3 linked regions of the Oryzias latipes genome follow. The protein of the gene in region 2 interacts with the protein of the main gene of each other region in a pairwise test. Links are inferred from orthologs where the notes say so. Each region holds a gene or a part of one and is shown on either strand. Other genes may lie near its edges.

The links. The genes of interacting proteins can lie anywhere in the genome.
Region 1: the proteins of disc1 (region 2) and cep170 interact in binary tests that used the Homo sapiens proteins (3 or more experiments, as listed by UniProt). The link is inferred for Oryzias latipes from reciprocal best matches to the Homo sapiens genes DISC1 and CEP170.
Region 3: the proteins of disc1 (region 2) and dmd interact in a two-hybrid assay, tested with the Homo sapiens proteins (2 studies listed by BioGRID and IntAct). The link is inferred for Oryzias latipes from reciprocal best matches to the Homo sapiens genes DISC1 and DMD.

What each region holds. Positions count from the first base shown.
Region 1 is NC_019873.2:16,486,551-16,496,688, forward strand, and holds the end of cep170 (centrosomal protein of 170 kDa), read right to left. Parts: coding exon 10,099-10,138; intron 9,988-10,098; coding exon 8,419-9,987; intron 8,300-8,418; coding exon 8,249-8,299; intron 6,731-8,248; coding exon 6,460-6,730; intron 6,375-6,459; coding exon 6,143-6,374; intron 5,814-6,142; coding exon 5,646-5,813; intron 5,563-5,645; coding exon 5,474-5,562; intron 5,347-5,473; coding exon 5,253-5,346; intron 5,149-5,252; coding exon 5,097-5,148; intron 4,313-5,096; coding exon 3,990-4,312; 3' UTR 2,021-3,989; downstream 1-2,020. Other genes in the region: complex III assembly factor LYRM7, read right to left, coding at 1-68, 225-242; hint1 (histidine triad nucleotide-binding protein 1), read left to right, coding at 390-500, 1,033-1,137, 1,284-1,448.
Region 2 is NC_019873.2:28,417,501-28,428,573, reverse strand, and holds part of disc1 (disrupted in schizophrenia 1 protein), read right to left. Parts: intron 9,254-11,073; coding exon 8,385-9,253; intron 7,340-8,384; coding exon 7,270-7,339; intron 5,691-7,269; coding exon 5,534-5,690; exon of another isoform or gene 5,529-5,533; intron 4,461-5,528; coding exon 4,370-4,460; intron 3,410-4,369; coding exon 3,177-3,409; intron 1-3,176. UniProt on the Homo sapiens protein: Involved in the regulation of multiple aspects of embryonic and adult neurogenesis. Required for neural progenitor proliferation in the ventrical/subventrical zone during embryonic brain development and in the adult dentate gyrus of the hippocampus.
Region 3 is NC_019860.2:190,361-201,433, forward strand, and holds part of dmd (dystrophin), read left to right. Parts: intron 1-1,433; coding exon 1,434-1,604; intron 1,605-3,683; coding exon 3,684-3,806; intron 3,807-3,944; coding exon 3,945-4,117; intron 4,118-4,207; coding exon 4,208-4,343; intron 4,344-5,388; coding exon 5,389-5,564; intron 5,565-5,795; coding exon 5,796-5,943; intron 5,944-6,074; coding exon 6,075-6,194; intron 6,195-6,296; coding exon 6,297-6,446; intron 6,447-6,521; coding exon 6,522-6,620; intron 6,621-7,508; coding exon 7,509-7,608; intron 7,609-8,132; coding exon 8,133-8,302; intron 8,303-8,375; coding exon 8,376-8,493; intron 8,494-8,787; coding exon 8,788-8,999; intron 9,000-9,178; coding exon 9,179-9,333; intron 9,334-9,409; coding exon 9,410-9,599; intron 9,600-11,073. UniProt on the Homo sapiens protein: Anchors the extracellular matrix to the cytoskeleton via F-actin. Ligand for dystroglycan.

The sequences.
Region 1 (10,138 bases), about 12 Mb from region 2:
AGCGCCCCTTCGTCATCTTTAAAAACAGCCATCCTTGTTCTGTGCAGCGTTTTAAAGGCATTTAGAACCTGTAAGCATGCGCAGTCAGCTCCAAGACAGTAACAACATGTATTACCAGCATCCAACAACAAATATATGTTTATACTCTATTCAAATCTAAAAATATTTTAGACATAGTGATGTTACAAAAATGCTCACGTTAAACATAAAGAAATACTCCTCACCTTCAAACGAGTCCCCATCTTGACTTGTACTTCCGGAGGTTCAACAACCGGCCAATCAGTAGGCACGTTCAAATGACGTACACTTCTAACCAATCAGCGTCCAGCCTTATACCACAGCCCACTGACTCTACTGCGTCTGCGCGGCCTGGACTCCACTGCGCCAAGATGGCTGACGAAACGGAGAAGGCACAGACCGCCCGTCCGGGTGGAGACACAATATTTGGAAAAATTGTGCGCAAAGAGATTCCTGTGAACCTACTCTATGAGGACGATCAGGTGCGCATGACATTGATCACATCCGTGCGCGTTTTATTAGCCACACGTGCAGCGTAGTCTCCACTAGCTTCGTCCTGCTCCTCTGCAGAAACTGCCTGCTCACTTTCACAATCAATTCTTGCAGGAATCTGTCACTAAGGAAATAAAGTTTAGTTCGGAAACCATACTTGAAAAACCTCTCAAATATATTTACTTTAAAATCAAAGAATAAAATAAATGTAAAACTTTGTTTTGGGGGTAATTAGGGAATTGTCATGGGTGTCACCGTGCATGTACTGATCTGATCATTAACCGGTGTTGAAGTTACACTTTGTTTGGCAGCTATGACTGACACGTGACGACAAAAGAAAATCCACATTGACACTGGTTATGCCCATATGTCTCTGGTTTTTACTGTGATCATTATTTAGCCAAATAAATGTCACCACATGACTTTTATTTTGAAGTCCTGTCTCGGAAGAAATAAAGCAAGTGTCCTCATGCATCACAACTCAGAATCCTTACAGATCTGTTTGTGTCTCCTGTCTTTCAGTGTGTGGCCTTTCCTGACATCTCTCCTCAAGCTCCCACTCACATCCTGGTAGTTCCGAAAAAGCCAATAGTTCAGCTGTCTGTAGCCGAGGAGGACGATGCTGCAGTAAGTCTGACTGCATGTTCTTCCTTTGAGCTTCATCGCATGTTTCTGTCAGTGGCCACTAGAGGGAGCTACTTAATCTGAGATCAGAGGTCTATTTAAAGGTCGGAATCTTCACGTGTTCTCTTGTTATTTACTTCTCTTTTCAGTTGTTGGGCCACATGTTGATAGTTGCAAAGAAGTGTGCTAAGGACGCAGGTCTGACTAAAGGCTACAGGATTGTCATCAACGATGGGCCCGATGGAGGCCAATCCGTCTACCACGTCCACATCCATGTCCTGGGTGGACGCATGATGGGATGGCCCCCAGGCTAACCTTCCTCTTCCTTTGCAGACCACGTAGTCATGTCAAAGTCTGTTGTTTGGTGTCCTGTACTTCTAAACTTTAAACAGTTGATTTGGTGAAACCACATGAAACAAACATGAATCTGTTCATTTGTTAATAAAGTTTTCAACAACAGACTTTAACTTGTCTTTCATCTTTCTTCATGTCATTTAGGAGTTTAAATAAAGTAATAATCAGTAAATGCATTTATGCTATTAAAATCTAAGTTCTTTTGGATACATTTGAAACTAAAGTGCATTTGATGGTAGATCTTTCAATGAAAAAAAATCTCATTATTTTGCATCCTTTGGCTACTTTTGTTTGAAACAAAAGGTTCCAGAATTGCTGAATCTGTGTAATATGTTAAGACTTAAGGGACTGCTTATTTTACCCACTTCTATTAGACAAAATAAAACACAAGTTGGGTTTTAGCAAATATTAATTTGCAAATCTTAATAATTAAAATGTACGTTTATTTTAAGGGTCCTGTATGGATACTAAGCACTCAGGCATGTTTGCAATGCAAACAAAATGATGCAAATTCTTTTCACATGACAACAAAGACAACTGAATGGCTCATTTTATTACCAATAATGTGGATATTCAAATATAAAATGCAGTAAACATCCACAAAACAAAATAAATAAAACAGTAAATTTCTTTACAAAAATAGGAAGAAAAAACAAAATAAATGACAACACTGATCTGATGAAACATAAAAAGAAACATGTACCTCGCATTCACACTCCCCTATTGGCTTGTCTTATAACGTAATTGAGACAAAAATATTTAGAGGCTTCATTGACAGAATAAATTCAAAGAGGCAAGATGGTCACGTCTGAAATCAGGCGATATCGTCAACTGATGCAGCCTTTTCCTTCATTTTCTCCTAATCTGGATGTAAAAACACTCCAGCTTGATGTGCAACATTTTTGTGTCAACCTTCTTTTCAAGAATAATGCCCTTACAGAGTGAACATGGGCACTTTGAGGCAAAAGACAAATCAGTCTACAGTAACGTTGAATGAGAAGGAAATGAACACTAACTCTGGTACCTAAATACACTACTGTGAAAATCTCTAGACACAAACACACAATCTTTACGTAGTTTTACTCTAGTCTAGACACAGACTTCAGAGGAGAGGTTAAGAAAATGATCAGTCTCCATTTAGACATAATGTAGGCAGCCAAGTTAGAGAAGAAATGGTTAGTTTTGCAGCCTGTGAGTACAGGAAAAGGAAATTGGAGCTTCCTCCTGACTGGAAAAGAAGAAGCTTTTTAGTATTTACACTGATATGACTTTGCATCTCATGAGACATTTATAAAGCAGAGGGCAGAAAAAAATAAAAAAGAACAAGTTTTAATCAATAAATCTTTTTGTAGGCTGCTGTTTTTTAATGGCACCTTTATAAAAAGGAACTCTAGCAGTTTTTTTTCCATTTATGTGTACAAAAAAATACAAATTTGCTAAACCAAATCCCTAAAAAGTTTAGAAATGGTCTTTTTCTTATTAAACATTTAGTTTGACACAATAAAATGGAAGCTATGCGTCTGACTTTAAAATCATTCCATTAAGAACTAAAAGAAACACTTATGTGAAGGTTTTAAAGCAAAAACAAAAAAATTAAATACAAACATCCTTTTTCACTTTAGTTATAATAAAATAGTTATTATAACTAACTGATAGTTATAATAAAACATCTCATGCTGTATAATTTTTTGGCTCCAAATCACATTTTCTAGATGACTAAACAGCTGAAATGACTGGTAACGAGTTCACTTTAGTAAGGTATTGTCACTGTTTCACCTGCTAATAAATAAAAGCAGCGTTTCTGGTGGACATTGTGAAATGCATCCTTGTATCCTGTACATGCTACTGCAGGCGAGATCTCCTCTACAAGGAAGGAAACATGACCGTTAAATAAAACTCATAAGGGGTTTGAGAGGAAAGTTGAGGATACATTACAAAACAAAACAAAGAAAACACAAACAATTCGGGCTTAAAGCATGTATACTTTCGTCAGGGTGATTCTGATAGAACATTCTTTGCGGCGCATAAATTATTGCAGTGGGCTGTCGTTTATTGATGTGTAAAGGAAAATATATTAGACTGTATTGTTTTAGACTCTTGCATGAGGTGGGGGGGGTCAGGAAATTCAGCTGCTACAATTTTTCTTAAGGCATGTCCTTAGTGCAGGAAGGGTCCAGACACATGAAGAAGGCAAAAAGAAGGAAAGGACAGTACTGAAAGGCTTCAGTCAACCAGGATGACAGGTTTTATAGCAGGCATAAAAAAGTCAAATGTTATAGTTAGTCTGTTAGAACCTATGGGTCAGCCTCTGTTGCTGATATGCACAATAAACAGTCATGTATTGGAGAGTGACAAGAAGTAACTATGCTTGTATAATAAAACTGTCAGAATGGCCGCTGTGTTTATTTAAAAAAATTATGTTTTTTAAGCATTTGATAACTGAGCACCTTCACTTTTTTCAGACCTGTTAATAGTTGCTTATGTTCTTGAAAAGGTGCTGCTCATTTCTGTGCGATAGCCTCCTCCCCGCTTGGTCGCATGCGGCTAAAGGGTAGTCCTCCAACTCCTGCTAAGCCCAAACCCACACAGACGCCTTGTGCGTTCATTTCTATGCTGGTAGAAGAAGTCTGGCTCTTGGAGGAGGCTGCTGAACCCCGAGCTCCAGAGGGGATTTCCGGCAGTGACTCTTTGGCTGGAGGGGCCGATCCCGGGCTGGTGGGGGACGTTTTAGCGGATGTCGGTCTAGTTGGAGTAGTCGGGGTGGTCAGGCCGAGGCTTGCCAGAGCGTCCAAAGTTCCGTCTGGATCTACCATCACATCGATCACTGAGACGTGACATGGAGAAGATCAGGAAACTTTAGCTTTAATCCTCATTTGTGTGAAATGCCTCACATAAACGGTGCATTCAGACGTCCTTGTCCTTTAGTTCTCAATAAACTTTTCACGTGAACGGCAGGTAAAACACATAAATAAATGTTCTGACAAATAAACATTTGGCCTTTTTTTCCGTTTGATAACACGACAATCGTACCTTTATATTTTTCTGCAGCTCATCTGTTGCTTCATTCCTACTCTGTTTACGTCGGCTACTGTGGCATTTTGATTCTGTTCTTCCGCTCCAAGAACGGATTGCATTCAGACTGAGGAATCTCAGAGCGAACCGAAGCTCAGTCCGATTCGAAACGAACCGAGACCACCTCCAAAGACGGATCAGAGATTGGTTCCTGGTCCTGGACCAGGGTCCGGTTGGGTGTATTCAGCCTGAAAATTTGTTCCGAGTTCTCGGGGAAAACATACTCTGGTTCACTTTAACTCTTGTGCTATCCTAGGCACTTTAACATTGGGAGTTGGGTCATCTAGACCCACTAGACAGTGCTCTGAACCTTTTTTCTTCAATTATTTGTGATCTTCTCTGGCGTCCATGGATTACATGAAATCTTTCCACCTTTATCCACCTTTGTCATGGTAGGGAGAACAGGTCAATGTAAGGGTGGGGTCATCTAAGATAGCACAAGGGTTAAGTGAACCAAAAGTGCCCAATCTTGAATACCCCCTCAGTGAACTAAGAATATCAGCTAATGTATGCATATTAGGGAGTCCTCTGCTTACCTTGAAGTTGTTTCTCTACTCTTTTCAGCTCAAGGAAAATTGAGGAGATTTCCTGACGAAATGAGGGGAAAAAGTGACAAAAAGATTAACCTAAGAGAAAATTTAGGATTTGTTAAATTTAAGATGTCTAGTCAAGAATTGTTCAGGGTTCAATACCTTGTTTGAGGTTTTAAGAAGAGGTACATCACTTTCTGATTTCAGCTTACTCTCAATTTCTTCCCAGTTTCTGTCCTTATCCTTGAACAAAATCCTGGAGCAAGAAAACACAACAGAACCAGATTTACAGATGCATTTCTTTTAAAATAACGAATCCCAATGAGAGTTTATGGGCTTTTGAAATGACTTTTAGATACAAAAAAACTACAGACTGTAATCACCTGATCTTTCCTGCTGTTTTGTCAACAGAGTTTCTGATCTTGGTTGAGAGCTGAGAAACTGAATGTATGAGTAAGCTGTCCAACACCGCCTGAACACAACCAGGGAGAGAGAAATGACGTCTTCAATGGTGTTTGTGACAGTCTAAGCACTCTCATGGATTTGTTGCCTCACCTCTTCTCGATTCCAGGTGCGTCTCCTTAAGGCCCGGGGCTCTGCACTGTTAGGAGCTTGCGGCCGGTGCTCCACTGGTTTACCGTTAATCTCTGGCGCCTTCTTGGTGGAAATAACAGGAGGGATCTTCCTGAAGTTCAGACTCTCATCAAATACTCGATCCACCAACTGGTTGAAGACAAAAAGATATAGAAAAGAAAGGAAGAGAATTAAACAACACATGCATTCATGCCAGAGGGATGTAAAAGGACAGAGTGACTGTAAAGCAAGGTTAAATGTAAAATGTAAAGCCAACAATGCTAAAAACCTTGGTTACTAACTTAAAACATGACAGCGTACCAAATGAGAGTGTAATAGATGAATAACTCACAGCAAATAAAAACTTTGAAGCAGCAGAGAGGAACATTTTTGTTTATCCCAAGCAGTTATAGAGGAATGATGGAGTTGAGGTGAAGCACACGCAATGAGGCCGTGATAGAAGAAGAAAAATTGGGCACCTTCTTCATGCTCTCCTGTATGTCCGGCTGCACAGGACGTGCTGGGCCTACCTCTTCCCGGGTGTCGATGGCCGATCCTGGCGTGGTGGCAGCCGTGCTGACAGTGGTGCTGGGTGCCGTGCCAGACGAGCTGACCGAGTCAATCTCGCCTGCCACATCATGGATCTCCCGGGCCAGGACAGCCAAGTCTTTAGCCAAGTCCTGGCTGATCCTGCGCACACAGGGGAATAACCTGTTAACCATCAGATAAAGTATTTTAGACTCAAGACAACTACACACACACATGCACTGAAAATGATGGATTAAGGGATCCATACCTGGCTATTTCCTCGCTGTGTGCTGTCCAGTCCCTGATGTACTCCTCCTGCTCCTTCATGCGGTACTTGATCCCCGCTCCACTTGTTGCAGACACCCCTGCGCCCGAGCTGGTGGTGGAGCCGAGTCTGGAGCTGCGATGAGGGACCAGGTGATGGGGCCGTGCGTGGGATCGAGCTCCGTGCTTGGGGGAATTTCTGCTGGACCCAAACTCTTCCTCAGAGGTGGAGCCGTACTCCGGGGGCAAGCGCCTCCACCGACTGCTGCTGGACACTGTCCCATCAAAGAAGGACAGCAAAAATTTGAGCAAACATTACAACAAACTCCACAAATAGTAATAAATGTGAGGCTTTGCAACCTAGGCAGCCTGCAGCCATACAGCGGGGCAGTCATTGATTCTGCAAAGTGACCCATTTAAAAATATGAGAGGCCTGTTTAGTTCATTTTAGATTGTGTGACAGACAGAATGTAGAGAAAGAATCCAGGTGTTTAAACAGGAGCCATTAATACAAGTGGAGGATAGAAGAGTTTCTTAACGATGGAACAGGTCTGTGAGGACAGAGTTCTTGCTCTTTGTAGAAGTTAAATACTTATTTTTATCACATAAAACATTCTTTAAAAATCATTCCGTGAGATTTGTTTTTTTTTTTTACATTCTATCTGTCACAGTTGTGTATCTATGATGAACATTACAGACTCCTTTCATCTTTAAAAAGTGGAAGAACTAGAATCAGTGACTGTATGTTTAACCTTCATTATCAGAAGGTTGCAAAATCGATGATGTGAATCTAAACTTTAAGCAGCCTTTTAAAGTTAATGGGATTTACTTTGTTTTCTTCAAACTTATAATATAAATGAAGTTGTTAACAGTCATGGGATGTTCTGGAACTCTCCTACCAAACAAAAACCTAAGGAAGAACTAACACACTGAACTTGTGTTAGGTTTGTGTTAATGAATGGAAAGCAATGATCAAATCACATTAAAACAGCAGCATAGAAAGCATTGCACTGGAGTTGCTGAAAGCTCTCTGTCTGTACAGCCTAAAAAATACATGAAAGCACAGAAAAAGGTCTAAACAAAATACTACCACTTCTCCTGTTGATGAGACAAAACTACGTATGCTCTGCTGTTGTAAAGGTGAAAACACGAGCAGCGCGTTTGGGTCATTATAGTGTTCTTCAATCAATGAAAAAGCAGGGATTCAAAGTTAGGGCCACACATGTTAGAGCTGGGTCATCGCAGCTCAGCTTTCCGTCATGAAAATGTTTTGATGTCATTCCAGGGCTGGGTTTTAAAAGCTCATCTGATTTTATCAATTCAAAGAGATCCTAACTCAAAGGATGTGACATGGATTCATGAAATCTATGGCTCAATTTTCCTCTAATGTGATGCCTTGTAACAGAAAACGGCTTTACTGCTCATTTTTTATTGTAGGTACCATTTTTTAATTGCCAGGAACACGTTTGTTCAGTCCAAAGCACTAGTTATGAGAAGACTCAAAAAAATCCATATGGAATCAGTTTTAGATGGAATCGTATCCAAATAAATCAGATTCCAATCATAGAGGAATTTAGCTATTTTAACCCAGCCCCACTAATGCTGCATCATATAATATTATAATATAAACTAAGATGGGTAGCTTTCCAGTGCTGTGACCCAGGTCTGACGTCTCCACGTGCAAACACACACACACACACACACACACACACACACACGCCAAGCATGAACACACTCACGCCAAATGAACCTGCACACAAGCATCTCTCAAGTCTATAGTTCAGGTACAGTACCCATCAGCTCTTCCTCTGCATCAGCACCTGCAGTTTCAGGCTGAGAGCTCTCTAGATGATGAGAACCAATCACAACATAGTGTGGAGCTTTATGCACAGACACAATACACTAAACATTTATGCTTTCTTTCTACGTTTCTAAGAAGGAAATGTGACGGGGATGTTCTCACCTGTGGGTGAGCAGTATCCCGCTGTAGTGGTTTTAGTCTTGGTCTCATTCAGTTTGGAAACACTGTTAGCTCTCATTCTGGGTGTCAGTCTGTTCTCTGTAGGCGCTGATGAACGCAAGCCGAGGCGCAGAGCGGTCTCAGTGGACAGCCGTGCTGAAGAGGTGGAGCTTCGCGTTGTTGTGCATTCAGAGTCGCTTCGGGCTGAGATAGAGCCAAGACGGGTTCTTCGCGGCTGAGCCAGCATGTCTAGTCGAGACAGTCCCTTCCGACCGCTTGGTGGTTTAGAGGTAGAGCTGGTGGTGGACACCTCAGATGCCACGGAAACCCTGTCTGCATCGGCTAGATCTGTGTCAGATGTATCGCCAAGCCGAGCGCGGCGAAGGAGGGAGGCCCTTGTGGGCCGTGGCTGAGGCAGTGAGGCCTGCTTATTCAGGGAGGAGGTTGTGGCTGCCTGAACAGTCCGGTTGGTTTTGGAGGAACTACTTACCAAAGTTTTTCCAGTCCTGCTATCGGTTTTAGAATAGAGAACATCTTCAGAACCACGCCTGAGTGCTGAGTGCCCCAAAGGTCCAGAATAGGTTTCCTGATCTGAAGAGAGGACATCAGAAATGGGAAAGGAAGAGGTCTGATCATCATCAGTGAGATCTAGAGATGGTTGCTGTGCTCTGCAGGAAGCTGTGGATGTCTGAGTAGAGCGACGGGCATCAGTTCGGGATGTTGCTTCAGCTGTTCGGCTTTTTGATTTCCTCTCCAAGCGTTCGCGAGCACTTGCATTTAAGGTGCTGGTCCTGGATGAAGTGCTCATGTTGCTCTTCTCGCGGTGCATGCTGCTCAGAGAGCGCCGTTTCTGCACCCCACCAGCTGCTGCTTTACCCTCTGCTTCTCCAGCGGCGTGACTGGCTGTGCTGGCCGTGTCCACGTCTGATTCAGGTGAGATGCAGTCAGTCCGAGAAGGGAGTCCAGAAGCCTGAGTATTAACACCAACTTTGGTACTTTTCTGGCTCAGTTTGTTCTCATCCCTCAGTTTAGCCTCTAGAAATGCCATGACAGCTTCAGTGTCCTTCAGCAGTGTTGCAGTGTCCATGCTACCCACAGAGTCACTGCGCTCGCGGCCACTCGTGCCTCTGTTTATGCGAGGAATGAGCTCTACGTTGACGCTAGAACTGGGCTTCTCAATCGTAAAGCTGCCCTGACGGACAAGAGGTTTCCCACACTTCTCTCCTTCTTCTTCTCCTCCTCCATCCCTCTCCTCTGATCTCTTCCTTCTTTCTGTTCCACCAGAGCTACGGAAAGGACTCTTGGATGGAGACGAGGCAGGACTTTGTTTGCATTTACTGATCGTTACAGTGTCCTTCATGGGAATTGGAGACTCGCCGTCTCCCTTGTTCTCTTTCTCCTGTGGCTCAGTGTCCTGCTTCTCCCCTATGTCAGATCTTGCAGCCTGTGAGCTGGATTTGGCCTGGGGGTCATCCACGGGAAGCTGGGGGAGGGTCCTGCATTTACGGTCTGTTGGGCTGGAGGAGGATTCACCTTTGGAGAGTGCTGCCCCAGACTCAAAAGCTTCAGTTCCTAAACACATGGAAACGTCATTTCACAAAGGACAGAATATTTAGGACTTAAATTCAAAAGGAAAAATAAGTGAATTCGCTCAATTCCAAAACAAAATCTCAGCATATTTACCCCTCTCTTTGTGGATGAAATTTGCTGCCTCTGCTCCAGA
Region 2 (11,073 bases):
TCAGGCTGTTACAAACTCTGTGATATAAGTAAACCAATAGTGATGCATAAAGTATTTTACAAGAGCTGAGCCGCTGGCGCCGCCCCTCCGTCATTTTTCCGCCCCGGGCGATCGCCCGTATGGCCCGTGCCTAAAACCGCTACTGCATCCTTCTAACTCAAATATCCTCTCTTCAACTTCAACGCTCTTAGGCGATCACAGCTCTATAGCACCCCCACCTGGTGACTAAAGGTATTTCACCTTTTGCTCTACTTACTTCATGCTCCACTGAAAACATGGTTGTTAAAATCAGAAGCCGTCATAACTTTAATAAAATAAGACTTTAACACAGTAATATAAATACCTTTTGGAAAAGATAATTCAATCTAATAACTATGTTTTATCATTAGACAACACCTATTTGTCCCTCATGACCTTAATGAAAGTTTACTTTAGATTAGATTTGCTTTATTGTCGTTGTCCGTTGTACAATGAGATTGAAGCATCACCATTACAGTGCAAGAATAGCAAGGAACAACGAAATGTATTATCAAACAAACAGATCAGTAAATACAAGTGTACAAATATAAACTGTAAAGAAGAATGTCCAAAATTAGTGTGCAAAATTTGTGTGTAAACATGTCAGATGTGCAAGAGGTAGCAATGAGGTAGAGTGTTGATGCTGTGGACAGAGTAAGTGGACAGAAGTATGGATTTTATCTGTGCATTTTGGTTATTGCCTTTGGAAAGAAGCTGTTTTTGAGTCTTTGTTGTGCTTCTGATGCCTCTGTAGCGCCTCCCAGAGGGCAGCAGGTGGAACAGGTCTGAGCCGGGGTGTGAACTGTCCTTGATGATGTTGTGAGTCCTAGTGATGCAGCGCGCGGAGTAGATGTCCGTCAGGTGGGGGGGGGCTATGATCTTCTGAGCCGTCTCCACGACTCTCTGCAGTCTCTCCTTATCCGTGACTGTGCAGCTGCAGAACCAAACTGTTATGCAGAAAGTAAGCAGATCTGGATGGATGATGGTAGAAGGTCAGCAGCAGGTTGGTGCTGATGTTGTTCTTCCTGAGGACCCTCAGGAAGTGCAGACGCTGCTGAGCCTTCTTCGTGATGGCAGTGGTGTTGGCTGTCCAGGAGAGGTCGGCAGAGATGGTGATGCTGAGGAACTTAAAGGTGTGGACCCTCTCCACGTGCTCCCCGTTAATAGTGAGGGGGGCTGGGTCCGCGCCATGCTTCCTGAAGTCGACGATGATCTCCCTGGTTTTGCTGGTGTTCAGGGTGAGGTTGTTGTCTGAGGACCAGGTTGTCTCAGACTCGTCCCCCCTGGGGATGAGTCCGACCACCGTGGTGTCGTCAGCAAACTTGGCGATGCTGTTGTTGTCGTGGGCTGGACTGCAGTCATGAATGTAGAGGCAGTACAGCAGGGGGCTCGGCACACAGCCCTGTGGGGCGCCGATGCTCAGTGTGCGGGTGGAGTGGAGGTGGGGGCTCACAGTCTGGGATCGGTTTGTGAGGAAGTTGTTAATCCAATTGCATGTGAGGGGGGGCAAGAGTGAGCAGTTTATCGCAGAGTCTGTCCGGGATTATTGTGTTGAAGGCGGAACTGTAATCCACGAAGAGCATCCGGACGTAGCTCTGCTGCTGCTCCAGGTGGTTCAGCGTGGAGTGGACAGCCACGGCTACAGCGTCCTCTGTGGATCTGTTCTTGCAGTATGCGAAATGGTGGGGGTCCAAGTCTGTGGGAAGGTGGTCCCTGATGTGCGGGAGGATTAGCCTCTCAAAGTACTTCATTAGGAGTACCAAAAGTATTTTAAAGAGTCAAAAAATGTGATTTAAAGTTACTTTTGTGATCCTCTTGTTTATTTTATTTTTTTAATTTAATAATTTAAAGAACTCCAGCCAAATAAGTGTTCCGTACACGAAGCAACGGCTATTTGTGCAAACATTGTTCCCCTAAAATATGTTTTAGTGTAACCGAGGTATGAAAATGTGTCAGGTTGACATTTAACTAGTTTGGATGTTGAACTATTCAAATAGCTTAATAATTATCATTGAATTCAATCAAAAGTCTCTAAGCTAAGCTTATGATTGATTTAACCCCTGAAATATTATTTATTTTAAATAATCATAAGATATATCATATAGTTTTTGAAAGCAATTAAACTATTGTTTCAGTAAAAGGGCTGGTGTGCTTTACATTTAGGTCAAAAAATGATTTTCATCGTCAACTTTGTGTTTGTAATGCTCTCATTAGAACAGATGTTAACATCTAACAGATGTTAGAACAAATGTTATTATAATGTTCAGAGAGCTTCCATAGTGAATTTAACATAAAAATGACTGTAACCACATGAAGAAATAATGATCAATAATAAAAGAAAATTCATATTTGAGATGAAAAAATGTTTCTGATCGTTGGACTCATCCCAAAATTTAACGATAAGATTAAAATCATAATTTCTAGTTGAGGAAACGATTCATGGTGGATATTGGTTCATCGGAACAATCCAATTCGATCATTGATTTCTTGATTCATCGCTGCCGCCCTGGTCAAAATAAAACATTTCAGTTTTCAAGTCAAACTGGAGTTTTTCTCGTGGAATGAGTCTGGATTTATTAGGAAATTTATTATAGAAATGTAGAATAGAAATAAAACATCTTCCTAATTTTGCTGGTTTAAGCTGCAGTTCCTTAGAGTAGAGATACATTTAGTAAACCTGAGCATCTTCACTGTACAGACAATAATGAGATGGAAGGAAATACATTTTTCTAAAAATAAAAATAAAAAAGTAAAAGCTTCTTTAAATAAGCTAAACAAGCTTTTCTGTTATTATGCAAAATGTTGCAAACTTTTTTTTTAGAAGAAATCCTTGTGGAATATTTCTATATTCACATTTGTTTACAGAAATAAGTTAAGAAGCTGAATTTGTGTTAGGGAATTTGTTTTTTTTTACATTTAATTAGAAAAGGAGGTAGTTACCCTTAAGCCCCGCCCCCTTCCTCAAGTTCAAGTCTTTACTTTGACTTTTGAGTCAAACTTGAAACATTTTGGGTTTTCCGTATAATGAGCGCAGCCTCTGGTGTTAATAAAGCTTCAACAATCAAACAAAAGTCATTTTACAAACATCTCCAGCCCCCACCTTATTGAATGCAGCATTCATGCAAAAGGAGGAGGAGGAGGAGGAACGTGACTCTGACCTGAGGGTGGAGGGTGGCGTGGAGAGGCAGATCTGCGCGCGGCTTTCGGACGTGACGAGGTCCTGCAGCGTCCTGCTCATGTCTCTGAGCTGGGGCGGCGTGCAGCTCCTCAGCACGCAGCCCTGCAGCTCCTCGTCCTCCGCCTGCTGCTCCTCCTGCCGGATCTGCTGCTCCAGACGGCGCCTCCTGTCCTTCAGCTCCTCCAGCGTCCGCTGCAGCTCGGCCATTTCCCCCTGGTGTCACATCGGAGGTTCAAACCCTTTTTTCCTTCACTTTGTTCCACGGCTTTGTTGAACAAAACGAATCAATCCGTGTATGACAATCTGCAAAACCCCCCCTAGCGTTTTCTCACGCCTAAACCCGCTGAAAATCAATTAAGGGCATAGTGACCCCCCCTAAAAAGTATGACATCACAGCAGGAGAAACCATTAAAAAAAAAAAAGAATGGGGCCAAAATGTCTTTCGGGGCTCAAAATAAATATTTCAGATTTTACGGATGAAACCAAAACAAACGTGTCGGGGCTCAGTTTTGAAACTATTATGGGATGGCCAGCTTGGCACCAATTTGTGGGCGATTTTCGCATGTTTCTACAGTTTGGGTAAAAATAAAAATCTTCACAAAATTTCACGCCATCCCCAGGTTAACTCTACTATTTTTTTTAACTTTTGACCTCAGGAGGAGTCTGAGTTATTCCAAAAACGCCCCTGTGACCCCTACATTTATCGGCCCGTAACTTCTCAAGTATCATTGAAGAGAACTTCTTGTTGCTCTGTTACTCGCACAATCTTTACCGTAATATTGTGAAAATGTAATCAACAAAATCCTTGGCCTAGACTGAACAAAACGATACGACATACAATATGACCATACTGGGAATGTGGGCGTGGTTAACAAAAACCTCTGTTGCCATGGAAATCCCAAACTTTACTTTTGTCGATTCTTCTAAAAATGGCGTAGACTTGTTCGTCACCACCAGGTGCCTAAAAAATTGAATGGTTGCTATGGAGATAAAACCAACAGAAAGGCTGCCATTTCATTCATGACTTTGTCGCATGCAGCTCTGACCAGGCTGGCAGGGGCAGAGGGGTAAAGTGAGGGGCGTGAAGCAGCCGCTTCAGGGTAATAAGGGGGTGGCGAGGTGCGTCCAACGCCACTCGCAGCTTTAACTGCTCATTGTAGTCGTGATCTTTACCTCCACCTGCCGTTTCTCCTGAATCAGTCGGTCTCTGCGCAGCATTGTGCTCTGCTGAGGGTCTGACTCCTCCCCCACGTTAGGCTCCTCCCTGAAAACAGGAGAACATTCAATGCAGAGGACAGGCCGGCACGACATTTCATTCAGGCTTGATTATTTTTGAGTCACTTGCACTTTTTGTTATGAAAACTTAGATTGATTTTGTTGATTTTTCTCTGGTCATTGAAACAGAAGCACCAATAAACACGCCAGGTCTCTTTGATTGGCCCAACTACAGCTGAAAATCGACTTTTTTTTTCTAAAAATGAGTAAAGTGTGTCAACATTCTACATTTGGATCCAGTTTTTTTCTGAACTTCTGTACAATCTCAACACGTTTTGCCTCTTAAGACAATAGAGTACCACTTAAAAAACAAAAGTGTGTGTGGAGAGGATTATTTTAAACTCATTCAATCATTTGTGTTTTCTTTTCTTCTATCTGGCTGCCCCTGACATCCTTCCTGTCTGCAGATCTATTTCTGAAAGCTTTTCCTCACATCTTTGTGCTAAATCATCTTAACAACAGCCAAACAGAACTAACAATGGCAGGTTAACGCCTCAAAGTCCCACTATGATCCTCCTCTGATCTATTTTTAAATTGTTCCCAGTGGTCTTTCATGATGATTTTGACGTTTTTAGCATAACATCTAAAGACTTGTGTTGTTTACTAGGACATAGTTTCTGCAGAGCGGCAGGAGTTCATCAGAAATTCAAGCTTAGTTGTGGGCGGAACTGTTGCTGTGGAGCAACCCCGCCCCCTTTACTGTCACCCAAAGAAAGACGTATAGACAAGTCGCATGCTACTCAAACGACACTTCTTCTGCTCCACAATTTTAAAAACTTGAATTAAAAAATAACTTAAAAACGCCATTTAAGATTCATTTTCTTTTTATATGTTGTACATCATCAGAAAAATGCTACAAGAACATGTCAAAATTTCAAAAACACATTTTTTATCGGACCTTTTTATAAATTAAACTAAATAACATGAGAGTTCCTGCTGGGATTTGAACCCCAAACTGTAGCGAAGGTTGGACTTATTCAGACAGCAGCTTTAGTCTGATAAAATGTCTGAAATTCAGATTTTAATCAGTCGATGTCTTTCTCTTTGTTTCCTGCAGCTGACCTGCTCTGCGCAGCGTCCGTCCTCTGGAGGGCGCTGTGAACCGCCAGGCGGAGCCTCTCCAGGAACAAGGACACACTGGGTTGTCTGGAAGGTAAGCCCAGCTTCAGTGCTGCACGCTCACTGCACAGCTCCTCCAGCTTTTTCCCAAATCGCTCCGCTAAAATCACACAAGCAGCAAACAACACGTCAACTCGACATTTGCAACTTTTGAAGTCGAAACAGTCCGTGCAACCGGACAATGAAATCTTATGAGGCCTGCATTTATTGGCTCTCAAAAATGACTAAAACTGACTAAAACCAGAATTTTGATCATCTGTCCTTTTATAAAGAAGATCAAAGAAGAAAAATAAACGTTTTAATGTTTTAGAAAGCCGTTTTTACATTTAGATGAACCTTTCGCTCAGAAACATGTTTGTTCGACAGTAAAAACTGAGGAATAGTTGCAGCAAATGCATGCAATGTTATTTCTGTCACAAGACCCATGAAATGGGTCAGAAGTGCATCCTCCTCTGAAAATAAACGGCTCTCTGCCTGTCCCCGACAAACATGGGGGCCAAACGGGGGTCCTGAACCAAGCGTCTTTTTCTGGACTTTGCTTCTTCTTGTCATTTGTCAAGTTGAACATTTGGCTTTAACAGGTTTAGAAACTAGTTTAAAGAAACAGTTTCATCACAAAAATAATAAGAATATGGAAATATATCTATATATTATGTCTATATATGTATAAAGATGTTAGGCAGAAAACAACAAAGCATTTGCTAACATGTTTTTTGCTCTCTAAAGAGAATAAGCCTTTGTCTATTGCAGAAATGCTATTTGTTTTCATTTAATTATGAAAAGAATTCCCATAATGCAACAGTTGTTTCTGTAAACCAGAACCATCCCTGCAGAATTAACAATAAAATCCAGGTTTGTATGACCAACAACCAAAGTCGGATCAAATGTTTTCATATTTGCTCATCTGTAGTTTTCTATTTTTACAATTATTTACTTGCTAAAAGCATCAAGACAGCCGGCTGGTTCCAGCAGGTTCTGTCCAGCCACAGAACCACGCTTTGAAATTTACAGCCAAAGGCTTTTATCTTGAAGAGAATTTAGATAAATGTGGGTTTTTAAAGGTGCAGAGACATTTGGTCATAATCCACATAAACATTTAGAAAAATCCAAAACTTCATTTTAGGAAAACCCCTGACATAAAGTGTTATTAAGCACAGTGGAGGAAGTTTTATAACATGGGCAAACCACATGACCCCTCCATTTTATTGTAAACAAAAACCATTTAGAGACTGATGTTTGGCTGGAAGTGGATCATGACAGCGCTCCGGATCAAAGTGTTGCTCTGACCCAGTCACAGTCCTGACCTGACCCGGAGTGACACGTGGCCTCAGACGACCCGTTCAAACAAACGCCTGCAAGCCTCAGTGAGGTTGGTTCAAAAACCGTTTTTAGCTGCAGGTCTTTTATCATATGTAACATGTTTGGATTGTGCCATGTTGTTAAATAACGCAGTAGAGCCCAAAGATCACGAGTGTTAAACAGATGAATGTTTGAATCTTGACGGTCCTTTGACAGCTGGGATTTCTGTCATAATCGCTCTGCAAACACTTCCTTCCACTCCGACAACTTTAATGGGAAAATCTATAAACACACGCAATGGTGAAATAATGGCATGCAAGCAAAACGTTCCTCATAAAACGCTTGATTCAGAGGGTTAAAACGTTGTGTTTGGCGTTCACCTGCGTCGTAGTCGTCGTCCAGAACGGCTTTCTGCTGGAGCCTCTGCAGCTTCAACATCATGGACTCGATCTGAGGCGGAGAGAAGAGACGGAGACATCAGCCCACAGGACGCCGCCCACAGGGAACGGGACAAGTACAATGACCGTCATTCTGTCAGAAAGTTCTGCTGCTTTTGGAGATTTTAACTTATGAACATAACTTTATGCTCTGCTCCATTCTCTTTTTTTTTAAATCAAAAGTGTGATTTTTTTTTTAACTTTCTTCCAGTTTTTAACACAGATTTTGAAAATAACTTAAATGTGTTTAATTAATGACAAATGGTCCAAACCTTTAATTTTATAAACGTTTGTGTTTTATTTTGAAAGCCAGACCATGACCTTTGTTGCTCATCATTCCATTTCCTGTCGGGCTTAGCTTTGAACAAGATATTTAAGGTGGTTGTTTCTAAATGTTGTCATGACCTTCACATCCATCTGACCTGAGCCATCACGGACCGAAAGATTCAAAACTTTAACTATCTGCGTCCCACAGCCGTTCTGGACTGAAGGACCAGATTGTTTCTGCAATTTTTCCTATTTACTGCATCTTTGAAGAAAAGTTTTCGCTGAGCTGAACAAAACTATATGACATACGATACAAACATATCAGGAATGTGGGCGTGGCTAACAAAATACCTCTGTTGCCAAGGAAACCCAAAAATTTACTTTTAGCGATCCTTCTAAAATGCACATCGACCTGTTCCTCCCCCCCGGACGATCAAATAACTAAATGGTTGCTATGGAGATGAAACAAATAGAAAAGCCGCCATTTTTGAAAAAAAGTGCTTTTTTCTTCTTCTCACATGCAAGTTTGACTAGGCTGGCAGAGGCATGAAAGGAGAGGGAGGGGCTTGTAGCAGCCACTCAGCCAATGAGGGAGGGCTAAACCATACTACACCACTCGCGGCTTTAAATGTAATTGCTTTTTCTCTTTAGCGCACTTTAGCGCCATGATTTATTTGATTTAATGATCTGAAACAGTCTACAGAACATGAGTTCTCCCTCAGCAATGACAGCACTTTAAAGTGAATGTGTTTGAAGTCTCTGCCCCCCTCAAGAGGATCCGCTATGCCCACCTTTGTGTAGGCGCGGTTGTTTCGGAGGCAGGCCTGCAGCACGCCCTCGTACTTCTTCACCACGCCGTCCCAGCCCGACTCCAAGCCCGCTGTGGCGCTCTCGTAACCGGAGGTGAAAGAGGAGGCTGAGGCCGTGTCTGAATCCACCGACAGCGAGGAGGTGACCTCCACGTCCAGAGGACGGGGCTCGCAGTCCAGAAGGTGGGAGGTCTCCTCTTTACCGTAACACTGACTTTCCCGCCAGAGCCTCCCTCCTGACGGCAGGTCCTCCTTCTGTGCGTGGCCGGGTGAAGAGTGGACAGGAAGCGAGAGCTTTAAGAAGTTCTGCTGGGAGTCAGGTTTGGGTTGTGGTCCTTCGGGGGCTTTGGTAGGTGGTTCTGGTTCCTGTAGTGGTGCAGCTGAAGAACCGGTCCTCTGACTGGAGCTGAGCGATTGCTGAATGAAACTGAAACTGGACGTGAAAGAGTCTTCTGCTGAGGTCTGGGGAGCCGGCCTCAGCCTTAAGCTGAGCTCATCATGAGGCTCTGAGGTCAGACCCAGATGGTTGGATGTTGCTGGAGCAGGATGGATGTCTGCAGCCGGGCCGAGGACGCCCTCACTCCTCAAACCCGTTGGTTTATTAACCATTAAAGCAGGAGCTGGACTCAGTCTTTGAGCTGGAGGGCCATGGGTGACGGCGGTGCTGCATCCACAGTTTCCATTCCCAAAGCAGCCGCTTATCGCCTCTTCCTCCTCCTCCTCCTCCTCCTCCTCTTCCTCCTCGGTACCTGCAGAGCTCAGCAGCCTGGACTGCTCTCCTCTCATGTAGCCTGGCTTTCGGTGATGCCTCTTTCGCCCAGAGCTGCCAGCTGTCGCCAACGCTCTGCCACCTGTTGATACAGAGATTAGGCGTTAAGCTCCGCGACAGGAGGAAGATGAAGAGTGAGCTCACGGGCGGGAAACGCTGGATCTGCAATGAAAGGAGAGTTTAATAAAAGACAGTAAGAAAAAAGCATTTCAGTCAAGTAATAGCAAATTTCTTCAAGAAGCTGGAACAAACAAGCAGCCATCACCTCCCAACTCCTTGAGCGTCATCGGGAAGCTTCACGGGGGAAAAAATGTTGGTTTTAAAGTTTGTGTTAGCGTGGCGAGGTCACAAATTTGGCGTTCCCCTGTTGATCGCATATTTTTTACCGAAATATTCTAAAGATTTTAGACAAATGGTCATTGGCTAAAGCTGAACGAAACAATATTTAATACCTTACGAATATATGAGGAATGTGGGCGTGGTTAACCAAAAACTTCAGTTGCCAAGGAAATCCGAAAAAGTACTTTTGCTGATACTTCAAAAAATATTACACAGACCTGTTTGTCAACCCTAGGCGACCAAAAACGTAAATGGTTGCTACGGAGATAAAACTAACAGATAAGCCGCCATTTTGAAAGAAAACGCGAATTTGTCCCATGCAGCTCTGACCAGGGTGGTGGAGGCAAAAGGGGGAGATTGAGGGGCGTACAGCAACCGTTCAGCCAGTGAGGGTGGGTCAAAGGGGGTAATAGGGGGCGGCGGGGGCAGGTAACAGGCAAACAACATCACTCCCACCTTTAATATTTTGTTTACACCTTCTTTTTCTTCCGGTGGAAACATTTTGACCTATTGATAAATTCTAATTTTACCCCACAAATCTCCTTACATATTTTTTTCAGAATGTCAGTCGGCATTGTTCTATTTAGTCTACAGTCATGGACACAAATTTTAGTTTTCTCAGAGTTAATAGAATTCCAAGCACTTCATACATTTCAAAGGCTTTTATGGACAATTCCATGACATTTATGCAAAGAGTCAGTATTTGCAGTCTTGGCCCTTCTTTTCAGGACCTCTGTACTCCCACTGGGCATGCTGTCAATCAACTTCTGGCCCAAATCCTGACTGATAGCAGCCCGTTCTTTCAGAATCACTTCTTGGAGTCGGTCAGAATTAGTGGCTTTCTGTTCGTCCACCCGCCTCTTGAGGATTGACCACAAGTTCTCAACGGGATTACGATCTGGGGAGATTCCAGGCCATGGACCCAAAATGTCAACAGACATGCCGCCTGACAAGGAAGACGTTGTTCATCTTTACCCTAACTTTGTGTGAAATGTGTTTCATGCATAACAGATGGTACGCTCCACTGAAAACAAATGATCACATGACTAAAACGGAATAAAACAGGCCTGTTCCACATGACAGATTTTTTTTATCAATGGTTTTATCTGAAAGTAAAAGAAAAACACTGAAAATCTTTGAGCAAAGCTTAAAGTAGAAGACCTTTTTAAAAATGTGCAAACACATTACAAAAACAGGTGAATAATATGGATTGATCTTCAGGAACTACAGTGGAGGAAATAAGTATTTGCCCCCCTAGTAACCATTCAGAGTTCTGGTTCACACAGACCAGTTAGACTCTCCTAATCACCTGTTTGAACTGATCACCTGTAGAAAAGCCACCTGTCCACAGAATCAGTCACGACTCCAAACTCTCCAACATGGAAAAGACTAAAGAGCTTTCAGTGGATTCAAGGGAGAAGATTGTAGACCTGAACCAGACCGGACTGGACTACAGAACCATCAGCAAGAAGCTGGGGGTTTAGGGTAACTGTTGGTGCAATTGGAGCAAAATACAACAACATGACCCTCAATCCACCTGTAGGTCTGGGGCTCCAACCCAAA
Region 3 (11,073 bases), on a different chromosome or scaffold from region 2:
CCTGTTTCACAGCATTTGATGAAAGCTGTTCTGGAGTTTCAGGAACCAAAGTTGTTGCTGGATTTGATCATCAAATATCATCTACAGCCTTTTTCAATATTCATCTACAGCCTAGTTTGACAAAGGAAATAAAAAAGTAATAGAGGAATTTCTGATTTTACATTAAATGAATGTTATAATTGTCTAAATGTATTGGCACAAAGTCGCCTCAGTTCTGTCTATTGACTGTTTATCTGAAAACTGGACAGTGTGGCCCCGCCCCCTGGCTTCCAAACAGGAAGTACACATATAGACTTCTACAAAGAAATACACAGCTGTTACTTGGTCAATCTACCTGTCAGAATAAACCATTCTAAATGGTAATTGGCGTATACTTGTATAGCGCTTTTCTACCTACAAGGACAAAGCGCTTTACAGTCACACACACATTCACACCTTTTTTTTTGTCATCTTGATAATTGTCTTTATTTTTCATGATTTTTTTCTGCAGTTCAAATTCTTCAAGTCATAAACTGACCAACCAGGTGTCTCAATAAAAGTAGGTGGAGCCTGCTGGCCACCAAATCCAATGTTCAAAATGTTTGACAGATAATAGGAGTGTGGCTTCCAATAAGCTCACACCTCATTGCTGAGAGTGGTTGCCATAGAGACGTCAACTCAGATCAATCACTGCTTACTGACGACATCTGACTCCCAACATGGCGTCAAACATTTCATTAAAAAAAGACGACTGGGTTGACTTCATTTTGTTGGAGCTGGAATAAACACATTTTCATGGATGATGTCACACAGTCCAGTTCTCTGATATAGTCAATGGTTCAATCTGGAACATTCATTCCTGGATCATCCTGTCTCACTTACCTGGATGGTACAGGTGTGTTATGGACACCATAATACACCCGTACTTTCTCACTTACCTGGGTAATGCAGGTGTGTACACCCGTACCGGGTCAGTTACCTGGATGGTACAGGTGTATCAATGGTGTCCATCTCTCTGCCCGGCGTTTCCATTGGTTCTGTTAAACAGGAAAAGTGGACTTTGACTCGTCTCTGACTCTGTGTGTCTTTCACTTTCAGATGATTACTATGACATTTCGCTAAGCCACTAAGACACTCACCTGCTTCCTCAGACTCACCTGTCGCAGCACAGATGTTCACATGCTGTGTGTGTCTGTGCATACGTGTGTGTGTCCTGGCTGTGAATAAACCTTCAGTGTTGAAATCTGACTCTTTGGGATTGTTTTTGTCTTACTCTCACAAACATGACTCCTCCCCCTAACATTCGTGTTGTGTGCTGGTGAAGCGGTCACTAATAAGTATGAATCCATGTAGGTGTGTCTTCCAGCATATCCATGTGCTTCTTCGTGCTTGACCCCCACCCCCCAGGCCCCAGCTAATAGCGAGTGACCTTCCTGGTTGATTTTGTCCAATAGGAAATTGTCTCAGAGTTGGACGTGAAGAAGGAGGAGCTTAAGGCGGTGCAGGACTTAGCCAATCAGCTGTCAGAGGCCGGAGCTGCCGGCCTGGTGGAACCTCGCCAGCTGCAGCTGAACACGCGCTGGCAGGAAGTGGAGGGTGCCATTGGTCCCTTCAGAAGACGAAGTGTGAGTCCCTGAAGGCACCGTGTGTGCAGATAAAACCCCCGAGAACGGCTAACGATAACAGCTGCTAGCTAACCTCGAGGGTTTGTCCCTGTCAATAAACTTAAAGCTATGGTGGTCTGGTCAGAAGCCCCGCCCACAGTCAGATGGGTTTACCAGAGCTGCTGAGTTCTGAACATGGGACTGTGACCTATGGACCATGGACCAGGACATTGGTGTCTTCCACCCTTGTCCTGTCATGGTGCATAGTTCATTGGTGTCATCATCACTGCTGTTTCATTAGTGGGACTTTCATCCACTGGTTCCTGGGTTTTTCTGGTAAATGGGTTAATAAAGCAGGTCACACCCTTCATCACGCATGACTAATAGTTACAGTGACTCATAACAAAGTAGTGACACCAGCTCCATGGAACAGGATCATTGGTAAAAGCCCAGAAGTCATTTTGGATCAGAGTCCTGAATCTCTGGGGTCGTCCTGGGGGGCGGCGGGCAGACGTGGTTCCCAAACATTTCAGATTTTTCCCTTGAATTGTCTTCATTTTAAAAAAGTCCGTTTTATAGTAAAATCCTCCTTTTTAAACATAAACTTGTCTTCTGTAAAACTGAGGTTAAAGTTTCACAGGACAACAATAACATAAGAAAACTAGACGAATAAAATGAAAAAAAGAAACATAAGTAAAGTAAAAACATTAGAGACAAGCAAAGATAAATAAATAAACACAGATGGGGGGGGGGACATGTGAACGTTTGAAAAAATGAAAATCTGAGCAACTCAATTTAACTAATTTAGTTCTTTTTAATCCAAATCTGAGTTTGGACTCGTTTTTATTTTTTTATTTTATGAGGAGCCAGTTCACAAAAAAGATCTAAAAAAACAGGAATTACTTGAGATTCTTTAACTAAACTAAGGCTTTAAAATCTATCCTTAAATTCCAGGCTAGAGATCCATCCTCCACACTTTCCTGTTAAATGTGGCTCTAAACACTTCATTAGATTACTGATGCTCCATGGTAAATGGCTGTATATGTACATGAGGCTCCACCGTGGTTCTTCAAGGTCCAGTGGTGTGTTTCTGTTACCCCATCTATGCAGAGGTCTGACCCATCCCATTCAAAGGACTATGTAAAACGAACAGAAAAACCTGGCCTCTATAGAAGTGTCAGTGAGTTATGTGGAGAATTGACAGATTTGATATATTTTGGGGCTTAGCACCCCTGAAAGTGACACCCCTAAAACCTACGTGGGGTTTTACTGGCCTAACACTCCACTGGGGCTCCATGATTCTCAGACATCCATAATGTTCCATGAGGGTTCCTGATGGTTCCTGAGGTTCCATAAAGGACCATGACGCTCCATCTACTCTACAGTCTATAGTGTTTCATGACGGTTCCTGAAGGTTCATGTCTGTGACCGTGGTTCAGAAATAAACTGAACTACGATCTTGTGGGGCCGGTCAGTAGATGTATTTCTAAAACAGTGCAGGACTGTCTGATGGTACAGAAACACTTTTCTACTTTCATCTCCTGACATGTTTGCATTTGGAACCACGTCTGTCTGTTGACCTCCATGATCTGAAAATGTGAAGATGATCCACAAGAACCTTCAGCGGTGACGTCTCCATCTGCAGTACCCCTGCTCTGCATGAGGGGGCGCTGTTGGGAACCAAAAATACGTTCCTTCCAACAGGAACTGAAATATTGTGCACACACAGTCTCTCATGTTCTGTCAGCAGCTCACACACTGCTTGATAAATGAAGACACACAAACAGTTGTTTTTTTCCAAATTCAGCTCTTGGTTTCATCCTTTGAACAGAAATATTTGCCCCCCCATGCAGCCTGAGTGAGAACCTTAGAGAGGCTGCATGTCTAGACGTGGATCATCAACGTTTGTCCTCCTAAATGCACATTCTTCTGACATTTATCAGCTTCATCCACGTCTCCTGGTTTTGGTTTTTCCTCCAGAAAAGCAGAACTTTGCTGTTCTTTGTTGTGGAGTTCAGATCAGATCTGGATCGGCTCTGACTATCTCCAGCGTGAGCAAACATGTCTGTTTCCGTTCTGAGCTCTGCTCTGTGTTTGCAGGACTATGTGGCAGAGCTGCAGACTCTGCTGCGGTCGCTGTCAGAGACGGACTTCCAGCTGAACTCTCCAGAGTTCTGGCCGGCTGCCTTTTACAGGCTGAGTCAGCAGGAGCAGTGTCTGAAGGTCAGAACGGGACGGACCCACACCTTTGCTGTTGACCACAACATTTGACACTGTCTGCACGTCAAACCACAGATAATTGTGGTTCTGGTCCAATCAGTCACTGGTTCCTCTCAGTTCTCCAGCTCCATGTCTCTGCAGGAGGTTGGAGAAAACATCGCTGTGCTCCGAGGGCCGGTTGAGGCGGCCCTGGCCCGTAGGGAGGAGGTGGTGGTGGGCGCCCGTCCTCTGGAGGCTCAGAGGATCCGGGAGACGGCGGGCCTCCTGAGCAGCAACTGGGACAAAATCCTCAAGCAGCACCAGGACCGACTCCGGTGAGGAGGCCGAAGGGACTGAATGACGGACAAACAGAGCAGTTTTACCAGCAACCGTTTGTGTGTGTGTGTGTGTGTGTGTGTGTCCAGGCGCTGGCAGGAATGCAACTCCAAGTGGCAGAAGTTTGTGTCAGACCAGAAGGCCATGGAGGCGTGGCTTGCTGATGCAAAAGCCGCTCTGGAGCTGGCAGAGACTCAGCCAGAAGCCCAGAGGCAGAGACTTCGGGTGACTACACCACGAGTACACAACAAGAAGACACAAACAAGTCAACGCTCATGTGTGCACACGTGTACCATAAACAGACATGTCCTGCATGTGAAAATACACATTTACACTGTGTGTAGACATGTCAGACAGCTGTCCTGATTCATGCATACACACAGGTACATGTGGAAGTACACAGTCATGTACACATTTGGATTGACTAAACAGTCCTGGATTTACACCTCAAGTAGACACGACAGTAGAAATACATTCTCATTGGAAAATGACCAAAGTTCCAGTTTTTGTCCATATGGGGCAGCTCTTTAGTGTCTTTGTGTCCTGTGCACTAAACCTGTTCTTCCTTTCTATCTATCGATCTATCTGTCCGTCTGTCTGTCTGTCTGTCTGTCTGTCTGCCTGCCTGTCTGTCTGTCTGTCTGTCTGTCTGTCTGTCTGTCTGTCCGTCCGTCCGTCCGTCTGTCTGTCTGTCTGTCTGTCTGTCTGTCTGTCCGTCCGTCCGTCCGTCCGTCCGTCCGTCCGTCCGTCCGTCTGTCCGTCCGTCTGTCTGTCTGTCTGTCTGTCTGTCTGTCTGTCTGTCTGTCTGCCTGCCTGTCTGTCTGTCTGTCTGTCTGTCTGTCTGTCTGTCTGTCCGTCCGTCCGTCTGTCTGTCTGTCTGTCTGTCCGTCCGTCCGTCCGTCCGTCCGTCCGTCCGTCCGTCCGTCCGTCTGTCTGTCCGTCCGTCCGTCCGTCCGTCCGTCCGTCCGTCTGTCTGTCTGTCTGTCTGTCTGTCCGTCCGTCCGTCCGTCCGTCCGTCCGTCTGTCTGTCTGTCTGTCCGTCTGTCTGTCTGTCTGTCTGTCTGTCTGTCTGTCTGTCTGTCTGCCTGCCTGTCTGTCTGTCTATCTGTCTATCTATGGTTCATAATGTTCAGGTGATGACGTGGGGACACACTGATGACAGCTTAGTGATCTTGTGACACACAGGATTATTCCAGACCGGTCATCTATGCATTGGATCTCATCCATGTGCTGGTCTTCTCTGCCCCCCCCCCCCTCCACCTGTGTGTAGGCGCTGACAGATGCCCTGCCCCTTCAGGAGAGGGTGATTTTCAGAATAAACTCTGCTGGAGAGGAGATCTGCCCCCTGAGCACCCCAGAGGACGCTCTGCAGCTGAAAACGCAGCTGAATCTGCTGAACGCCTGCTGGACCGCCGTCTGCCAACAGCTCCAGGAGCACCGCAGAAGGTGTGTCTTCTGATTGGTTCTACTTCTTCTCTGGTTGATTCTGTGCAGCCTCCTCGTGTTCAGTGGGTACGTTCAAGCAGTCGTGGAAGAAAGTTGGTTTTGATCAGTGTAGAGTTTTTGGGGAAGCCCACCGTTTAGAGCGGCCCCTCCCCCATGACCTTCTCTAGAGACGTCAGATGATGGAGAAGCTTCAGAACAGAACCAGTGCTGAGGTTCTCCTTCATCCTGCAGGTCTGCAGAGGCTCGGACCGCGGCTGCACAAGTGCAGGAGGACATGGGATCCATGTCGGGCTGGCTGGACCAAGCTGAAACAGTCCTGAAGATCCCCCTCCAACCGGCAGAACCCCAGCACATCCGAGACACGCTGGACAAAGTCCAGGTACCGTCCTGTGTTTGCACCTCCTCCTGACTGATGCCCAGACCTGTGCTGACAGGTGTGTGTGTGTGTGTGGGTGGTGTGTGGGTGGGTGTGTGGGTGGGTGTGTGGGTGTGTGTGTGTGTGTGTTCCAGTTTCATGTAGAGCAACTTCCTGAGAAGGAAGCAGCCGTGAAGGATCTGAACTCCAGGCAAACCTCTGTTCCCGCCGAGAAGCTCAGAGACATCAAGATGATCAACACGCGCTGGTCTCAGGTCAGCCGGAGACACTTCCACAGAACCTGAGCAGAACCTGCTCCCCCCAATCCCCTTTCAGCCCCCACTGTGTGAGCTGCCTCTGAGCTGATCTTCCTCTAGGTGTCCAGGGCTCTGCCTGAACGCCAGCAGGAGATCGAGGCTCTTCTCCGGGACCTGATGAAGCTGCGTGGCCGTCTGGAGGACCTGTCTGCCTGGGCGGTGAACACCCGAGCTCGGCTGGAGCAGAGTCCAGAGGAGCCCCCGCCCAGGGTGGGACACTCAATCCATTTTCTGAAAGACAGCACAGTCTGCTTCGCTGTCACCACCTTGTGTCTGCTGCAACAGGTGATGGAGGAGGTGCAGGTGAAGCAGCCAGAAGTGGATTCGGTTCTGGAGAGAGCGGACCGGGTCTTAAAGGAGGTTCCAGATACCCAGACAGAAAAGGTGAGGAGGTCTGAAAAGATCAGGAGGTGACGTGGAAGAAACAGGTTGTCAGATAGGACTCTATTGTTCCTGTGGGCGTTTCCCTTGAGGCGTCTCCACAGCCAATCAGCTTCCTCCGTCTGTCTCCTGTATCCTCTACCAGCAGCTACCTTCATGTCTTCTTTAGAGAAGAATCCTCCTCTCTGGTCTTCCTCTAGACTCAGCATCCTTCAGTCTCTCCTCTGGACATGTCCCAACCATCTCAGTTCCCTCTAATGTCCCCATTCCTGGTCCCAACATCAACTGGTCAAAGTTCAGCTGCTTTTACCTTCAAAATGTGTTCAATGGACGTGTGTGTGTTTGTTTATAGATCCTGGAAATGGCCGTAGAAACTTGTGTAGCGACGTGTGAACAGTTTTGAATGCACACGTTTCCATGGACTTATGGAAGTGGTGGCGTGAAGCACCTTGCTGACGGCGGTGTGAGCCTAGCTTAAAACATATCACGTTTTTTTTGGCTGTTTCCCATATTTTTCTGTGCAATGTTGGATTTTTTTGTCTTACTTCACGTGGAGTTCTGATTGGCTGTTGGCAATCAACTTCCTGTGTGCCGTGTCTCCTGTACAGAATCCCTTCAGTTTGTCACATTTACTTTAATCAGATCCTTGTTTTCATTTGGGCTTTGACAGTTCAAACAAAAGTGTGAGAAAATGTGTAAAGTGTGTAGTGAGGAGTTTTACGGCCTAAAACCTCTAGAAGTTTTGTAAAAGATAAAGAAAAATACTTTGACCATTTTCCCGTATCGCTGGTTAATATTAGAAAAGAATTCTTACAATAAACAGGATAACTCTGTGTTATAACAGCACAAATGAGTGTCTGTGTGCAGTAATAAGTGTGTGTTTGTTACCAGCTGAAGTTCGTGAAGCTGAGAGAAGACTGGACGGTCATTCTGGAGCTGCTGCTGCAGCACAGACAGAGGACGGCCAATCAGCTTCAAGCCAAAACAGCCAGTAAGATCCTTTCTCTCAGTGCAACGTTCACACGGGGACCATTGGAACACCCAAGGAGCTAACCCTGACCTCTGACCTCTGACCCCTAACCCGTTCACATAGGTACACCGCCATTACTACAACCAAAGAGCTAACCCTGACCTCTGACCCCTAACCTGTTCACATACGTACACCACCATTACTACAACCATAGAGCTAACCCTGAACTCTGACCCCTAACCCGTTCACATAGGTACACCGCCATTACTACAACCAAAGAGCTAACCCTGACCTCTGACCCCTAACCTGTTCACATACGTACACCACCATTACTACAACCATAGAGCTAACCCTGACCTCTGACCTTAACTGGCCATGATAATATCAGTTGTGAAGCTTCATTTTGGTTCTAGACATGCTGAACTCAGACGTGATGTTCGTATGTAATTATGACGAGTTTGTGGTCGTTTATGTACAAATCTAATAATAGACTTCAGACCGAACGACTCAACGGAGTCGTCTCCATGGCGCTTGTTTGTGTCCAGTTGAAGGTCTAAGTGGGAGTTCACAGCCTGAGGCTGCAGCTCTGGCTCAGTTCAACAAGTCGTGGGCGGAGCTTACAGACTGGCTGACCATGCTGGACAACATGGTGCGGAACAAACGTGTGGTGGTGGCCGACCTGGAGGACATCCATGACAACGTCCACCAGCTCAAGGTCAGGGTCTCCGTCTGATGATGAGCAGCTGAGCCTGAAGCTAAAAGAGTTCAAACTGCTTCCATTTTTCCAGACATCTCTGCAGGAGCTGGAGCAGCAGCGCCCCCTGCTGGAGAAACAGGTCACAGCAGCACAAAACCTGAAGAACAAAATCAACAACCCGGACACGCGTACTGCCATCACTGAGCGCAGTGAGTCATGACACACAACTGGACTCCTTTTTGTCCTTCATCCTCATGAACAGAGGAGCTAAACACACACGTACAGACACACCTGTTACACATTTAGGAGATCCCTGGAAGCCTTGGTCACATGCTCCTGTACGGGGTTGGACGGGCTTTGGGTTCTCCAGGTGATGGATGGATGGATGGTGAATTAAAAACGACAATAAATGCAATAGCATCAGTAGATCAATAGTATGGTTGTACAAACACATGGAGTCAGATGAAGGTGATCTACAGAGGTGGTTCTCTCTGCCATCACAGTCGACAGACTCCAGACCCACTGGGAAGACTCTCAGACCAAAGTGTCAGAGCGGGTGAAGCAGCTTCTCAACATGCTGCAGGACTCCACCAACTGGCTGAACAGCAGGAAGGATGTGGATCACCTCACCAAGAAGGCCAGTGAGCGGCTGGAATCGTGGCAGGAGATCACGTACAGCGTGGACACTCTGAGGAGGCAGCACGGAGACCTGAAGGTGGGTGGCCTGCTTCCTGTGACAGTAGGAGACGTGGCTGGTTAGTGCGTCAACCTGAAAGTGAAGACAGAATCCTGGGGGGGGTCTCTGTGAGCCCTTCAGAGCAGGCGTTGTGAAGCTTCTCGGTTTATTGAGGTTCAGCGAGTCGTCAACAGTCACCATCACATCCGTCTCTCCAGGTCTTCATCAAAGACCTGAAACTGTGGCAGGAGCAGGTGATGGAGAGCACCGCTCTGGCCAACAAACTGCTGACTCTCTACTCCAACGATGACACCCACAAGGTCAGCCAGGTCAACGACGGCATGATGGCGACGTGGTCCCACATCAACAAGCGGTGAAGGCTGCTGCTCCCAGTGTTCAGTTCCTTTCCTGTAGAAGACGTGTGCGCTAACCACCACATGTCCATGCAGGGTTTCAGACAGGGACGCGGCCGTGGAGGCCGCCCTCAAGCTGCTGCAGCAGTTCTTCCTGGACCTGGAGAAGTTCCTCAACTGGCTGGCAGAGGCAGAAACCACCTGCAACGTTCTAGTGGACGCCACCAACAAGGAGAGAGTGCAGAAGCAGCCAGACAGCAGCAGGAAGGTGCTGGCGCAGTGGAAGGTGGGACAGTTTTCCTGTCCTGACAGAGGATGGACATGGACTGTCTACTGTTTTTACCAGAACCATGGTGCAAAGGATAGGTAGAACTATCCACTTTACTGAGAGGAAAACATCCCATAGATGGTGCAGACCTGTACCTTCTTCTGCCTTCACATTCTCATCAGTCTGTTTCTATGGGCTGTAGCTGTCCAGTCACGCTTTGAAGGTCTTTTTGTTTGTCTATTTTTAGCTAACTTAGCATTTAACTTTACAAATAAAGCTGCAAGCGGCGTTGTATGTTCCGCAGGCATGACCCCCCGCAGGCATGACCCCCCCCAACTGTCTGCCCCAACAGACACCCGATCAGAGCACCGGTCAGTTCGAGCCAGGATTTATGGGTTAAAAAGTCACAATATTCTGGTTCAAAATGTACAAACAGGAGAAGGCCACCACATCAACTCCATTTAAAATCTACTATTTTGAAGCTAATTTTTTTCCTTAAGTAGCTTCCTAGTGATGTTTGAGGAGTGGTTTGTCCTGTCACCCCCATGACAGGTGGTGCGTCCCCCCGTCTTTACTCATCCATCACTTAAACGATCAAACTACACGCCCTGTCCTTCCTAACTGGATTATTGTAAAATACATGTTGTCTGTCATATATCAGTGGTCCCCACCCTTTGTAACGCCACGGACCGTGATGACGTCACACAAAGTTTTCACGGACCGGTCTGTCAAATGGAGGCTGATGAGTAATATAGCAACACTACAACGAAGGAGGAACAGAGACGTGACAGGAGAAACTCTGAGCTTTTATTTTGATACGTATGACATTGTACATCACACAGGTCTTATCATTCTCTCCCCTTCCCTCACTCATGGTGCAAAAAGGAAGTACTGTCTATTAAATGTAGCTTTCTGTTTTTCCTCTTCTGTCTCCTGGATGGCCTTTTCCACTTGGCAAAGAAACTTTCCATAGACGTTTCTTTTTTACTCATTTTGCTAGTTCCTGGGTTTTATTTTAGCGGTATCCTATCACATGATCAAGAAGAGCGCCTTGGCCTGCGTTAATGGTGACATAGACGGATGGAACAGAGAATCTGGCAATTTTTCAAAATAAAACATCTTTCATGTAAGTTATTTTATTCTTTCTCTGCGGCCCGGTACCAAATGACACAGACAGATTGCAGACACAACGTAGACGCACTGCAGACGCACCGCAGACACACCACAGACAGACCGCAGACGAACCACAGACACAACGTAGACGCACTGCAGACGCACCTGCAGACAGATGGCAGACACAACACAGACAGATTGCAGACACAACGTAGACGCACTGCAGACGCACCGCAGACACACCACAGACAGACCGCAAACGAACAACAGACACAACGTAGTCGCACTGCAGACGCACCGCAGACACACCACAGACATAACGTAGACGCACTGCAGACGCACCGCAGACACACCGCAGACGCACCTGCAGACAGATGGC